Pelodiscus sinensis: one gene and its partner. Each later gene encodes a partner of the first gene's protein in a complex. Links are inferred from orthologs where the notes say so. Each region holds a gene or a part of one and is shown in the gene's direction. Other genes may lie near its edges.

Region 1 (7,576 bases):
TCAAAATCTTTATGGTCAGTGGTGACTAGAGCATTCCCTGCAAACATGGAATTGATCAGATGTGGCACTGATAAGTTATTGCATTAGATAGATAAATACAAATACACTCAATTCAACAACATTTCTGTCAGGCGTTCAAGCAGTAATGTCCTTCCTGAATATACGATGAAAATGACTGGCTTAATTTTTGAAGAAGAGCATCCATTTTCAAACTCACGGGCCTTTTCTCATGTATTGATTTAGCATATATTTGAGTTATCCTTGCAGTGTTGCAATCTCATCAGATCCGTTTAAGTGTCTCAACTCAAAGATAGATATATTTAGACTTGGATAGTAGCAGATATAATTGACTTTTCCAGTAGTTGTGTGGAGGCAAAAACCCCAAAGAAACATGACTGGAAATGACCATTCAAATTACTGATCCACTGAAAAGAACTGAACATGAGTCACATACATATTTGGGTGGCAGATATATTGTTCAGTTAATATTTCACCATTTAAAAAGGGGGTTGTATCTCCAGATACAAAGTATATGTGTTCAAATAGGCATAAATTCCATCAGAGTGCATGTTCTTATGTATTTATCAAATCACAATTTATTTACTCTTTCTAGAGTAACTCTATGGCTGTGTCTAGACTGGCAAGTTTTAACGCAAAAGCAGCTGCTTTTGAGGAAAAACTTGCCAGCTGTCTACATTGGCTGCTTGAATTTCTGCAAGAACACTGACTTCCTACTGTCTGAAATCAGTGCTTCTTGTGGAAATACTATGCTGCTCCCATTCGGGCAAAAGTCGGTCAGTGTAGACAGTTCAGATTTGTTTTGCGCAAAAAAGCCCCGATCGCAAAAATGATGATCAGGGCTTTTTTGCGCAAAAACGCATCTAGATTGGCACAGACGCTTTTCCGCAAAAAGTGCTTTTGCGGAAAAGCGTCCATGCCAATCTAGATGCTCTTTTCCACAAATGCTTTTAACAGAAAACTTTTCCGTTAAAAGCATTTGCGGAAAATCATGCCAGTCTAGACATAGCCTATTAGTTTAGCACTTAATCTGCATAAAGTTGCATTATGTTGGTTGATGCCTAGGCTCACTGAATGTTATTGCAGTTAATATTTATAAAAAGTGATAGAAGAGTTATTGTTCACACTATTTGTTTGCATCAGGTCCAAATTTACAGCTGGAGAGCTTTCAACAATAAAAATTAGAAATTAAATAATCCTGCGTCAAGAGCAGCCTAATTGCAAGAAAAGTCAAGTAAAACATCAACAAGGAAATCATTTTTAATATTTTCCCAACTACCCTTCCCTTCAGCTGAAGCAAAATGCAAGACAATGTAGCACTTTAAAGACTAACAAGATGGTTTATTAGATGATGAGCTTTCGTGGGCCAGACCCACTTCCTCAGATCTATCACTTCCCTTCAACTGTGTGGCATTACTGCTAGAAAAGGGAATGCACACCGCGTGCTGCTAACTTTTCAATAAAATTCAAACTCCCAAAAGCCTTTTAGACCGTCACCCCAAACCCTGAGAAAAGTGTCCATTTATTTCAGCTGTTTAAGAGGTGAGTTTTTTCTCGTCTCTATAGCGCCACTTAGTGTCAGTGGGATGAAATTAGTCCTCTAAATATGGCCTGGTCCTACTTATTGAAAGCCTGCTCAGAGATCTTATCTGCCAGCCTAACCGCCCCCCGCAAGGGAAAATCAAGAGGATCACCACCACACTAAGCCAGCGCAGGACTAAGGAGTTTGCAATGCACTGATCTCTGGATGCCTGTATAAATAAGATGTTTGCTTTGGTCCCTCGTGGTTTAAATGTCTCTCCCGTACACTGCCCTTGGCTGAGCGTCTCGAGGATGGGGATGCGCTATGCTATGGGTTGCGAGCAGGGAGCAAAGGGGCTGGACAGGCCGAGAAAGGGAGCGAGATGCGGCTCCAAACCTCCTCGCTCTGACTGACACCCAGCGGGAAGCGGCGCTTGAAATCATCCAGCGGGGCCGCCCAGCTGCGTGGTCGGGGCGAGCGGCAGCCTATCCCTGAACGCGTTTGAAGCCCCGCCCCCGCCCTACGAGCCCCCGCGGCTGCTCCGGCAGCTGGGCTAGGATGCAGCTGGGGGGTGGAGGGTTCTCCAGTCCCGCGGGTTCCCTTTGCCCGGGTGCAGCCGACGTCTCTGGGTGCAAGCAGCGGCTTCCTTCCCCGGCCGAGCAGAATTAATTCGCCAAGCCCCCTCTCCCCACGTTACACGCCTCCACGTGTGGGGTGTGTGAGTCCCTCCCCAGTAAGCTCGCTCTCATTCTCTGCGAGCACCGGCGAGCTTTCCTCGCAAGGCAGGCGAGGCGAGCAATCAACAAACTACAGGGGGACCGAGTCTTTAAAGAGGTGGCGTCTCCCAAAATATCCAACATTCCGCACGCGTGCCGAGCCTTTCCCAGCACCCACGCGGCTTCTGTTCTCACTAAGATCACTGCTTCGGCCAGGCAGGCGTGAGCGTCTGCCCCCTGCCGCCTCCCCTTCTGCCTGTAACTTCCCAAGGGTCCGTGCACTTCGACTGCCCTCGGCCGGCTAGGACTCCTCCAGCAATCGATTGGAAGGGGAGGAAAAGGCAGGCGTCCTGGGAACTGCAAGCACATAAGCTAGGTCACTGATTTGTTCTCACTGCGACTGAGCCCTTAAAGGAGCTCTCGGGAAAGGCAGGATTCGCTAGAGCCTGCCCCCCCCCTTTTCCCTCTTGTCCTTCCAACACTTCCACATAAAACAGGGACGAATCTAGTGTCTCCTGCTTCACACCCACCCAGCTCTCTGAGGCATCTCGGCACAACCTGCAAAATCTCAGCTCCACCACTTGGATCTTGTGAGATCCAGCAAACATTTTTGCCCCCAGTATTTCTACCCAGGGCTGGATTAAGACCTTTAGAGGCCCTAAGCACTGAAAAGATTATGATGTTCCCCCATAAGTAATTTAAAATTAAAAATAATACTATACTGTAAAATCTCATTTTTTGGTGCCCCCTGCTTAGCTGGTGCCCTAAGCATGTGCTTAGTCTGCCTATTGGTAATCCACTTCTGTTTCTACCCCATAAACTGGAAAGAGTGGAGGTACACTTCTTGGGCCACAGGGCAGAGCAGTGAAAGGATCCTGCCATGCCCTCCCAAGGTAAACCAAGGGTGGAGAATCCAAGACCCAGGCTGGATGTGGCCTTCTGCTTGCCTGGATCTGGCCCCTGAGTCTTGGGGCTCCCCCCAGTATTGGGGAACCTGTGCTGGTGCTCCAGCTCCATAGCTAGAGCACAGAAAATCTACTAGCTTGCCCTCCCCCCCCAGGCTTTGGTGTGCAAGAGGAATGTGGGGAGCCTCTTTGTCTTTCTCAGTTGGGTGCCATGTCATTGAGGGTTTTTTGTTTCTCAATTTGTGAAAAATCCAGACATTTTTGTGTGGGTCTGCAACCCCCCAACCCAAAAAAGGTTTCCCACCCCTGTAAACACAATTAGCTGCTCTTGTTGCAGGGACAGAACTGAGAAGCAACACTGCATACAAAACCTGGACCTTGTCAAATGTTGGCCAGGGACCTTAAAATACAGAACAAGCTTGATCTACTATTCTGCCACGCCCCTCCCCCACTCCCCAAAAACAAATGTTTCTTCCCAGTCCCCAGCCAATTCTGGTAGAACGCTGTAAAAACTCTGCTTTGGCACCACTTTGCTTCTGGCTGCATCACCGCTTAAATTTTAGCACATGTGCAGAATCCAGGGCCAAATTTATCATGATTCACCAACATTGCCCCTTCTTCCCTATGCCCGCCTCACAATTACATAGAAAGTTGAAAACATCAGTTTAACCTGTGAAACTGCAACTAGTTAGGAGTATGCATTTTAAATATGTTAGCAACAAAAGCTGGAGGCAACCCTCAGATCTGAGATGTTCCATAAATGATCAGCCATGCAAATGATAAAATATGGATCTTTGTTTATCTCTTTACGGTAGCAATCAGGGCGTTATTTCCTTAGCAGATGGAGCCACAACAAAATCAAAGTACCAGAGCCCAAATTAGAAAATAGTCAAGGGCTTGTAGATTATGTAATCTAATTGACAAGGGACTGGTTGAGGACTGTAACAGTTCGTTTAATATTAAAAAGCCCCTGTAGCTTTAACTGTATCTGTTTTAAAAAGCCATGCATAACTTTTACTGAATATAGAAGATAATGTATTCCCATCTGCCAAGCAGTGCATTGCATTTCATGACGTACAGTAAGACAGAGAAGAAGGTAAAATAGAGCACGCACGCCTAAATTAGCCATTTCTAGCAGGCTATAGGTACCCAATGAGAACATTTGCCGTTACAAATTTTGCTGGGTCCGGATTGTTGAGGCAACAGTAGAAGCATCGCCTTTAACTCTGATTTTAGGTGCATGTTCTGCGTGTTTGGTGAAACTTTGGCATGCTCCCAGGTGTGTGTGTGTGGGGGGGGGGTCTAAGTTTGGGTGGTAGTTTGGCTCTGGGGCACATCCGTGTGGATTTTAAAGATACAACAGGGAGACGCTAAATGGCGTTCTCTGTATGGACAAAATATGGAGGTTCAAGGAGGAAAATTTAACAGTGCTATCTGATATTTCACTTCCCCATCAAGGTTTTTTTGGGTGCTCTGGGAAGCCCTGCTGCAGATTTTGGGTGGGCCAAAGGAGGAAGGAGTAGAACAATAGGAGAAGCTACATTTATTCTCTGCTGCGGTGGCAAAATGTGGGCTTGTTCTCTGTACATGAAGGTTTTAGGGGGCGAGAGCCCGCGGATCGGGGTGGGGGGGGGGGGCGAGTCTCTCGGGCTCTAGGGGCAGGTTGCGAGTTCTTGTGGCGCTGTTGCACTGAGCGCGCCCCGGCCCCAAGGCTGTTTTGAAATAGCAGCGCTGGCTGGATTTGGACCTCGCGCAGGCAGCGGAATGTGAGCGTCCCGGGCCCCACAGGGACAAGGATTGGTGGGCTCCGCTACCCCCCTCCAGCGCCTCAGCTTTTCCCCTTTAAAGCGCTCTCCCCGCAGCCTCAACTTCTCCCCGTCACGTGTGATTTCCTTTCGGGGGCCCGGCGGGGAGCCAGAAGCCGCCTGGCGGAGCCGGCTCGGATGTTAGCCCGGCGCTCGCTCCCCAGGGAGGATCCGGATTGAGCCCGGCTTCCCCTCCCGGGGCTCACCCGCTGCACTTGGCGGGGGCGCGGTAAGTTTCCTGCCTCCCGCCTGGAGCCCGCCCAAGCGCCATCTCTCCCCCTGTCTGCCTGGGGCTCGGCTGTGCACGGAGGGACTTGGGTTTCTCCCGCGCTCCAGCGGCGGAGGACGCCCGGCAGCTCCAGCCCCCGCACGGCGGATCTTTCCTCCCCCGCCGCGCGCGGGAAGCGAGTTGGTGGCAGCTGGCGGGGGCTCCCGGTGGCTCGGATCCCCCCCCCCCCCTCTCCCTCCGCAGGGATGGGCAGCGCCTCAGGACTCCGCAGGCAGCGGGACCCAGCGCTGCCGCTGCAGGTGCCCATCCACCGGCTCGCCTCGCTCTGCTGCTGAAAGGGCGGCGCTCCCTCCTCTCTCGCTCCCCCTCCCCTCCGAGTTATTTATTTTATTGTTTGGGGTGGCCGGAAAGTAACCCCCCGCCCCTGCCACTGCAAGCGGGGTCGGTGGCGTCATTCCGCTCCGGAGTTGGAGCGCTCACCAGCCACTTCCACCCGATTCCCCCCCCCCCCCCTCTGAAAACACAAATAAGAGTGTAACTTCCCGGAGGCTGCGGTTTAAATCATGGCCCCTGCGATCCGGGCCAAGGGGAGAGAGATGCCTGGTGACGCTAAATAAGCCGCGGAGATGTCCCCGAGTGGGTTGGAAATACTTTGGCCATAGCGCGGAGAGGAGATCCGAGGAGGACCAGCTCTGCCACGTTTGGGCCACCGAGAGAGCAGCTCGCCTGACCTAGCACATTGGCAAGTAAGTCACCGGCTCCCATCCTTGATTTCCTTGATCGTACAGGTCTCGCCGCCGAGGCTTTGCAGCTGGTGGTTTGGAAGTCCTGGGCTGGGGGGTAGGGCGGGTAGCGGAGTCACCTGAGGGTTTCGATCTCCTCCAGGGCTCCTCATGTGAGACATGTGCGACAGAGTGGGCTCTGTTGCAAGCCAGCCTGGGTCCCTCTCTGTGAAAGTGCCTGGTAAACACCTCCTTTACAGCAGCTGCCCAAGAATAGGGGTAAAGGACTAGCCTGGTGACCACTTCTGCAGCTACAGCCCCTGGGAATGATGCCGTGTATGTTTATTAGCATCCCAGCTATCTTTTTCTCTGTGTTTGCATGTCCCTCAATAGTGGGAGTCTTTTACTAGAGTGCATTTTAGCCACCGCTCTTGTAGGATAGCCCGGTGTGTATCTGAGGCATTTATGCAATGCACTACAGTGCTTGAATTTGATCTGCATATCTCTTAACTTTTACCATGCCATTTGGTAATTGTTTTTTTTCTGATGCTCCTTCTCTTGTGGGTTTTGTTTTCCTGGCTTTTTTTGAAAAAATATGAAGTTATGTACATCTATGGATCTTCCTGGTGATTGACATTAATCAGAAAACAAAAGTTGGGTCCAGCATGGTTTCAGTTTAACAGGGCATACAGAAAAGGTGTAGTAAGCAAGCTGTCCAGTCCTGCTCCGCTGAAAGTCCACACTAAAACTCTACTTAGGAGGGAGCAGGGACAAGCCCAGGAGACTATAATCTCTTCCTAAAAATTCAGTTGAAGATAGTTTGCTCAGAACTAAGCTGTCACACTGCAAAATGCCAGATTTCCTGCTCACCTTTCAGCACAGCTAGTGCATAAGTTAGCTGACCTGCCTCATGGTATCTACCTGCCACCCATCACTGAAATTCAGGAGATGAAGATGTGATTTCACATTGAAAGGCAAACAACAAACTTCAAAGCTTATTTAATTATGTTTATGTTTATTGATTTTTCTTAGCACCTTCTCTACAAGACTGAAAACTATAATCTTATAGTGACCTTGATGAGCATCCTGCTTCAGCATGAGGTTTCACAGGGAGAAAAAAATTACACTGATTTACAGCCAAGCATTGACATTTTGCTTAGAACATGATCAGTTCCAGTGAGCATATGACTTTCAATAGTGGTAGTGGGGATAAAAGGGTGGAGCTAAGGATGTGTATTCATTTACAGCAATGAACTTGCTTGACAGTTACAACATAAATAATTCTATGTACCTGCTGCAAGTAATGTAGAGGGATTTCCTTCTATAGAAAAGTAAATGGGTATGAAATAATTGTTGATTTTTATTTGACTTTATTTTCTAAACAGAAGTCTCCAGTAAATGGAGACCAATACAAAAAAAAAAAATCCCAAATCTTTCCAGATTAATTCACTTTGATTTGTCAGCACTTGTCAACTCTGAGGGTTTAGAAGGAAGATCCTTTTATATACAGCTGCCTACACTTTTCTCATTTGAGCAACATTATCATAATAGGATAAAAAGGTGCTTATATGTTGAACACATGACTAAAGCACCAGTTATAGCAAAAGGATGAAATAAGCCTTTTCCTTGCTGGGAATGAGTTACGTGCATAATTTGAAT
Region 2 (7,636 bases), on another chromosome or scaffold:
TCCATTCCAATCAGGTGTGCGTGCATCGCATGCACGAGCCTTGGAAACTTTTTCCACTAGCAGCTTCCTCCAGCTTAATTCCTTGGAAATTAATGGTTACTTAGTAATTAGGTAATTGTACTTTTAAAGTTACGATATGAAAGGAATTTTTTTCATAAGGGATGCCGGAATAATTATTATTCATGGCACTATGTCAGTTAGCTTATCATCACTTGTAAGTTGTAAAGAGAAAACAGATGGGCACAGGCAGGCAGATGGGAAAGAACAAAGAAAAAATGAGACAATATGGTCAGCAGGATAAGCTATGGTCTCTGCATATTACCAGTCTAAATGTTGTGAATTTTTCTGTGGGGACCTCAGCAGAGGAGAGTATTAATCATAGAATACTAGGACTGGAAGGGACCTCAAGCGGTCATCGAATCCAGTCCCCTGCCCTCATGGAAGGACCAAATACTGTCTAGACCATTTATCTAACCTACTCTTAAATTCTCCAGAGATGGAGATCCCACAACCTCCCTGGGCAATTTATTCCAGTGTTTAACTACCCTGACAGTTAGGAACTTTTTCCTAATGTCCAACCTAAACCTCCTTTGCTGCAGTTTAAACCCAATTCTCTCAGCCTTCCTTCATAGGTCATGTTCTGTAGACCTTTAATCATTCTTCTTGCTCTTCGCTGGACCCTCTCCAATTTCTCCACATCTTTCTTGAAATGCGGTACCCAGAACTGGACACAATACTCCAACTGAGGCCTAACCAGCGCAGGGTAGAGGGGAAGAATGACTTCTCGTGTCTTGCTCACAACACACTTTTAATGCATCCCAGAATCATGTTTGGTTTTTTTTGCAACAGCATCACACTGCTGACTCATATTCAGCTTATGGTCCACTGTAACCCTTAGTTCCCTTTCTGCCATACTCCTTCCTAAACAGTCGCTTTCCATTCTGTATGTATGAAACTGATTGTTCCTTCCTAAGTGGAGCACTTTGCATTTGTCTTTATTAAACTTCATCCTGTTTACGTCAGACCATTTCTCCAATTTGTCCAGATCATTTTGAATTATGACCCTATCCTCCAGAGCAGTTGCAACCCCTTCCAGTTTGGTATCATCCACAAACTTAATAAGAGTACTTTCTATGCCAATATCTAAATTGTTGATGAAGATATTGAAGAGAGCCGGTCCCAAAACAGACCCCTGCGGAGCCCCACTTGTTATACCTTTCCAGCAGGATTGTGAACCATTAATAACTAAGAAACGATTTGAAGGAGTATAATGAGTTGGTTTTGTAGAGGTTTATGGGGAGCTCCTTCCAAGCACAAGAGGAAGGATGAGAGAAAGGAGAAAGGTACTCTTTGAAAATGTAACAAGTGTGTGATAAAGGCTGGTACCATGGACCCATCTAGGTAGGAGCTGACATTTTGATAGGGAATGAAAGAGGGTGGGGATAGGCCAAGATAAAGAATCTTGAAAGTGAAGACAAGTATTTTATAAGAACATAAGAACATCCTGGGTCAGACCAAAGATCCATTTAGCTCAATACCTGTCTTCTGACAGGATACTTATGTCTGATGTGAAAGGGAAGGGGGAACCAGTGGAGGAATGTGAAATTTTTCTTCAGGCCACAAATGTCTAATTCCAGGAGTCAATTTCTTAAGCCATTCATAAGCTTCCATTTCCAAAACCTCTTCATATTTGCTTTTTGTTTGCTTTCCAAACTTCTTATGCCTTCCAGCTCCCTTTTATAACATGAGCTGTTGGTCCATTAGACTCACCTCGTTAAGTACATAACTCTCAAGATCCAATGGAGTTGTCACTTCAGTGAAGTTAATTGAGAGAATCTTAAGCATATCTTCGAGGCATGGTTACATATCTTATGCACACAAACTGTTCCCTGATAAAGGTAAAACCAAGGGAAGGAGAGGAAAACTTGAGGCTACACGGTGAGGCTTTGTCAATGCTGTGGGTGGGTTTTTTCGGAAAAAGATAAGCAAATTGCGAACCGCAACTTGCATATCATTTTATGCTTGTTTTAACAGAAGAGGCTTTTCCAACATTTGGCCTATCTACATGGAGCCAAATGTTGGAAAAACCTCTTCCTTCAGAACATCCCTTATTCCTCATAAAATGAGGAATACATGGATGCCGAAAGAATGCGCCCGTTTTTTCAGAAACTGTTCCAGAAAGGCGGATGCCTTCCCTGGACGCGGCAGAGTTTTTCTGGGATACCTCTGGTATCCCAGAACAACTCTGCAGTCTAGATATAGCTTTATAGGTGCCCGAAGGAAAGAAGTCCATTGTGTTAATTATTATTCCATTAGGAGATTTACCTGATGTTGCTCGGGTCCTTAACTCAATTAATTTTAATTTTTCTTCACTTGAAGCAGAGCTCTGGGGGAGCCTGGAAGTGAAGGGTTCAGGATGCAGACTGCCCTGAGGAGAGAGGAGAGAGGCAGAAATTTGGAGCCAGGTGAGAAGTGCCTCTCCATGGCTGCTGCAGCTCCAGCAGGCACAGCCAGGAGAGGGGTACCTGTCCCCCAGCTGGGAGAGGTCCAGGTTCCTCTCCCCCTGAGCTTCCTAGCCAAAGTGAGCAATGCAGCAAACTTTGCAATTTCCCTTTACTCCCTGATGAAGGGGAATAGCCAGCAATGTTCCCGTCTGAATCGAGAGAGCTTCAGCTTACCCCTCCTCCCAGCTCTCCCTAAATGGCACTTGGAAGCGAGAAATTTGAGGCTGGGGCAGTCCTGAACCGAGGAGGGCACACGCACAGCCAGCCCTTGTTACCCACCTGGTAATTCTGTATCTTTTCTGTATGGTTTGATGAGACACAATCCCATTCCAGGCACATCCTATTTTCCTGGCACAACCAGTTCCTTACCTTGATTTAAGTTACGATAAGACAAAGCCATATACCGAATTTGGTGGTCCTAGCTCTTACGGTTTAGGAGGAGTTCTTGAACAAACAGACAGACCCACAGACTCTCTCAACTATATAGCAAACTGTGAAAAACAAGCAAGGTTGCAAAATTCCATTCCCTTGGAATTGGCATTACACAATGCATTGAAATTAGTGTTGTTGATACAAAACATGCAAATTCATATCCTCATGAAGCCTAAAGATACATCTTTTGAATCCCTTTAAAGACAGGAAATGCTTTAAAACATCTGCTGTATCCTCACTATTTGGAAACGAATGGCTCTCTAAACTCTCTGGCTACATCTACACTGGCATGATTTTCCGGAAATGCTTTTAACGGAAAAGTTTTCCATTAAAAGCATTTTCGGAAAAGCGTGTCTAGATTGAAGCTTTTCCGGAAAAGCACTTTTTGCAGAAAAGCGTCCGTGGCCAATCTAGATGCGCTTTTCCGCAAAAAAGCCCTGATCGCCATTTTCGCGATCGGGGCTTTTTTGCCTAAAACAGTACTGTGCTCTTTACACTGGCCCTTTTGCGCAAAAGTCTTTCGGAAAAAGACTTTTGCCCGAACGGGAGCAGCATAGTATTTCTGGAAAATCACTGACGATCTTACATGAGATCGTCAGTGCTTTTCCGGAAATTCAAGTGGCCAGTGTAGACAGCTGGCAAGTTTTTCCGGAAAAGCGGCTGATTTTCCGGAAAAACTTGCCAGTCTAGACACAGCCCCAATGTGTTATGAAAGCAATTAACTATACATGTCTTTGCTTTCTTTGTCTCTTTTTGGAGTGCTCTCAATTGATCTTTTCACGTTTGTTTTGTGTTTTTTGAATAGGTAACATAGTTATATATTACACAGCTTGGACTAACTTGGTCCGGCACCCTCAGGACCTGATCAGTCCCGAACAAGGAGATTTGCCGCACCAGGGGTTTTCTCTTGCTAAAGACCTCCTAACCCTCTGCCCCTCCCTACCGCAGGCTGCTTCTGGCTATGCTTGGCCCTCAGGCCCCCGCCTCTCTGCCGCTGGCCCAGCTGGGGCTCTCTGGGGCTGGAGCTCCATGGCCCCTGGGTCAGGAGCTACCACTGGGGCTGGAGCTCCCCAGCCACCACCGGGCCCAGAGCTGCCCTGATGCTGCAAGAGCCAGAGCTCCCCATTGTGCCACGGGGCTCCCCAGCCAAGTCGCCTCCCTCCCCACCCACTGTACTCCTGCCCCGCTGCCAGACCTCTCTGTCCCTTGGCTCTGTGGTCTAGGAACTTCCACGGTCCTACTAGACCACAGATGTTGCTGGACCAGAGTGTCCCAGTTTAGGGAGGTACAACCTGTACAACAAATGAAGTATGACATAACACGATTTACAATATCAATGGATATATTCTTACTAATACGGAACACAGAAACTAAAAAGCTATGTATACCCTTGACTCAAATGTCATTGCCTCATCATTAAGTGACTCAGATTTATTAGCAACTATTTTAAATATATAATTATTGGCAGTGTTTTATCTCCCAATTTTGTGAGTAGTGCAGTGAAGGAATTGTTGTCTAGCAAGTCTGTCTGTCGCTTGCCCAATTTCAGGCGTAACCCTGAGGTGTTCCAGTTTTAAGTACTACAGTCAAATGGAAACTGCACCCAAACAAACTAGATGACACGGAAAGGGTGCCTCACATTTTTAGGATGCTTTTAACCTTTAAGAAACATTTTTTGTTTATTGTGCTCTTTCACCTTTTTGGATACAATAGCAGCATTGGTGACAACCGCTTTGGAGTTCCTTCTAACAACCATAAGCCACCTTTCCAATATACGAATGGGAGCTTCCTAACCAGGGTAAGTCATCTTAGAGCTCATCTGGATGCAGATTGCATTATGGTACGCATGTGGAGATTGAGGACTTTATGTGACTCTGCCATTCTTTAAAAGGCAAAGGATAAAAGAGTTCCTTATTTTTAAATGTAGTAAAGCTTTTTGTGATTTATTAAACCAGAGCTGTGTGACATGACAAATCTTAATTCCCTAAGTATGTAGAAGTGAAAACAGATAAAATGTTTTTATGTATACTTATCTGATCCATAGTGACCTTTTATCATTTATAATCTAGTAAATACAGCTGTTCACAATTCTGTTGGGGAAAAAACTAAATTTAAAAAACATTTCCATCTTTTTCTGAAGGACTCAGATGTTACATTCACTCCCAAAAGCAGAATGGTAGTCAGATCAGTTCCTTAGTGTTTCTATAATGCTAAGATCTATAAAGAAAAGAGTTCTGATCGATAAATCCTGTATTCCTTAGGGAAGAAATTATTTTTCACAGAGGATTCTGCCAATTTGTAAAAACAGTTTTTCATGGGAAAACTCATTTTTCTATTGGGAAAAATTAAGTTATAGTTTAGTGTCACATCCCCAAAATACACATTCCCCTCCCCCCAAAAGCATGAAAATATTAAGGGAAGAGGATAAACCAGATTCTTTGCTCTTTGGGGGTTGCTTTGCACATTTTTACAGTTTATGTCAGTCAGTCACATATTAGAGAGCTGCAACTTATTAAAGGAAGTGTGAATATTGTGCAACACCTAGCATACAGGACTTGTGGGTTTTATAGATACTCTGGTACGGGTTGAACTTCTCTAATCTGGCACTCTCTGGTTTGGCAACATCTGTGGTCTGGCATCATTTTAGCTAGCTGGATGTCCACTTATGAGGGGTGTAGTCAAGTTTCCTGCAGTACCATAACGTTTGTTTGACCTGGCAGTGAAAATGTTGGTAATGCTAGAAAATACTGACCTCCACGGTTTGGCAAATTCTCTAGTTCTTCCCTGGTCAGGTTCCAAGGGTGCTGGACTAGAGAGATTCAACCTGTAGTACAAATAATAAAAAGAGCTGAAGAACAGAAAGAACACCTTTATTGTAGAAGTGTTTTTTAAAAAAACATAGAATAGAAATCATTACAGGTAGTTATTTGGTTTTTGTTTGTTTGTTTGTTTTTGAGAATTAGGAAAAGAGAAGAGGATTCTACCATTCCATTCTGACCCACTTCACTGTTTTGGTTTTTTATTTGTTTGTTCTCTATGTCTTAACCAAGATGATTGCTGTTATATTATAATTGATGTATACATAAGGTTACTCAATAGGGGTATGTCTACACTACCCTCCTAGTTCGAACTAGGAGGGTAATGTAAGCATACCGCACTTGCAAATGAAGCCCAGGATTTGAATTTCCCGGGCTTCATTTGCATAAGCGGGGTGCCGCCATTTTTAAAACCCCGCTGGTTCGAACCCCGTGCAGCGCGGCTACACGGGGCATGAACTAGGTAGTTCGAACTAGGCTTCCTAGTTCGAACTACCGTTACTCCTCATTCCACGAGGAGTAACGGTAGTTCGAACTAGGAAGCCTAGTTCGAACTACCTAGTTCGTGCCCCTGCACGGGGTTCGAACCAGCGGGGTTTTAAAAATGGCGGCGCCCCGCTTATGCAAATGAAGCCCAGGAAATTCAAATCCCGGGCTTCATTTGCAAGTGCGGTATGCCTACATTACCCCGCTAGTTCGAACTAGTGGGGTAGTGTAGACATACCCTATGACTGCTTGCATCATGAAGTACTACTCACTGTAGGGATGGAATCATCTGATTTTGGTACAGTAAATTATGCCCTTACAGCATACCTAAAGTACAAGATATATCTACTATTCTCTAGATACATTCACTTTATACTTCATATTATTTCTTAATGCTAAGAACCAGCACAATATTTTATTGTCGCATTCAATTCTGCAAATAGGTAATGAAAAAACTGGCTGAAAAATAATGACAGAATAGCTGGTTGGAGTAAAAATAGAAATGTGCAGAGAATGCGGAGCACATCCCCTGTCAGATTATGACAATAAAGCAATCCAACTTTAGTTTGTATAGTGCTCATCATGTAAAATGTATCTCAAATCACTTTACAAGATCAGAATGATGTAAGATACTGGAGAGAGTCTGGTATAAATGACAGAAAACAGCAGAGCAGAAGAAGGGTATTGAATGATGAACAGATTATCATTCAGTCATTAGACCAATTACATAGAGAGGGAAAAATTAAGGATACACAGGCATCTCAGAATTAATGATACATACATTAAATGTCCACTGTCTTCAGTGAAAGTTGCATGGATATATCTAAGAAAAGAATTTAGTTCTATGGGGCATATTTTCAAAGTCCCAAACCTGGCCACTAATTTTTGTGCTTATTTTCAATTGATGCAATTAAATATGCACACTAATGATAAAATGTAAATCTTTCACAATCTACCGCTCGGGCAGTTAGATATTTCCATTCTACTATTTATGCTGCATTCAATTACTGGTGCAAAATTAGATCCGTCGTTTAAAAATGTGGCCTTATGGATGAGACTAACCATCCAGAACTCTCAAAGAGCTTTGACACTCCTCAGCTGAGATTTCTAGAAATTTTGTCTCCTCTTTCCTCCCAGATTCTTTCTTGTGTCTCTTTGCTTTAGCATCACTGAAAATGTCATTATCCTTCCCATCACCTAGATATACAACCTCAATATCATCTTTGAATCCTCACTGTCTTCTTCTCCATTTCCTTATATTTTGGCTCTTGCTAAAAACTAAAAATCACTTCTAAGGGTAAGTCTACACAGTCAACTGTCCTTTCCTCTCTAGGCCCCTGGCTGGTTAACTTCCACCTCACCAAGCGTACCTGCCTCCTTGTATCTTGCCTTTCATTT

What was found. Proteins that work in one complex are often made in the same cells at the same time.
Region 2: the proteins of SNTG1 (region 1) and transient receptor potential cation channel subfamily V member 3 are in contact, whole or in part, in a crystal structure (PDB 7QQN), measured with the Homo sapiens proteins. The link is inferred for Pelodiscus sinensis from reciprocal best matches to the Homo sapiens genes SNTG1 and TRPV3. Residues at the interface, in NP_001274742.1 of Homo sapiens: Arg62, Gly66, Gly67, Phe68, Gly69, Leu70, Ser71, Ile72, Lys73, Gly74, His78, Ser85, Lys86, His118, Glu119, Val122, Arg126; in NP_659505.1 of Homo sapiens: Pro786, Glu787, Thr788, Ser789, Val790.

The regions. Positions count from the first base shown.
Region 1 is NC_134712.1:68,483,109-68,490,684, reverse strand, and holds the start of SNTG1 (gamma-1-syntrophin), read left to right. Parts: upstream 1-4,533; 5' UTR 4,534-5,941; intron 5,942-7,576. UniProt on the Homo sapiens protein: Adapter protein that binds to and probably organizes the subcellular localization of a variety of proteins. May link various receptors to the actin cytoskeleton and the dystrophin glycoprotein complex.
Region 2 is NC_134731.1:3,845,014-3,852,649, forward strand, and holds the start of transient receptor potential cation channel subfamily V member 3, read left to right. Parts: upstream 1-4,595; 5' UTR 4,596-4,734; intron 4,735-5,688; exon of another isoform or gene 5,689-5,760; intron 5,761-7,636. UniProt on the Homo sapiens protein: Non-selective calcium permeant cation channel. It is activated by innocuous (warm) temperatures and shows an increased response at noxious temperatures greater than 39 degrees Celsius. Activation exhibits an outward rectification.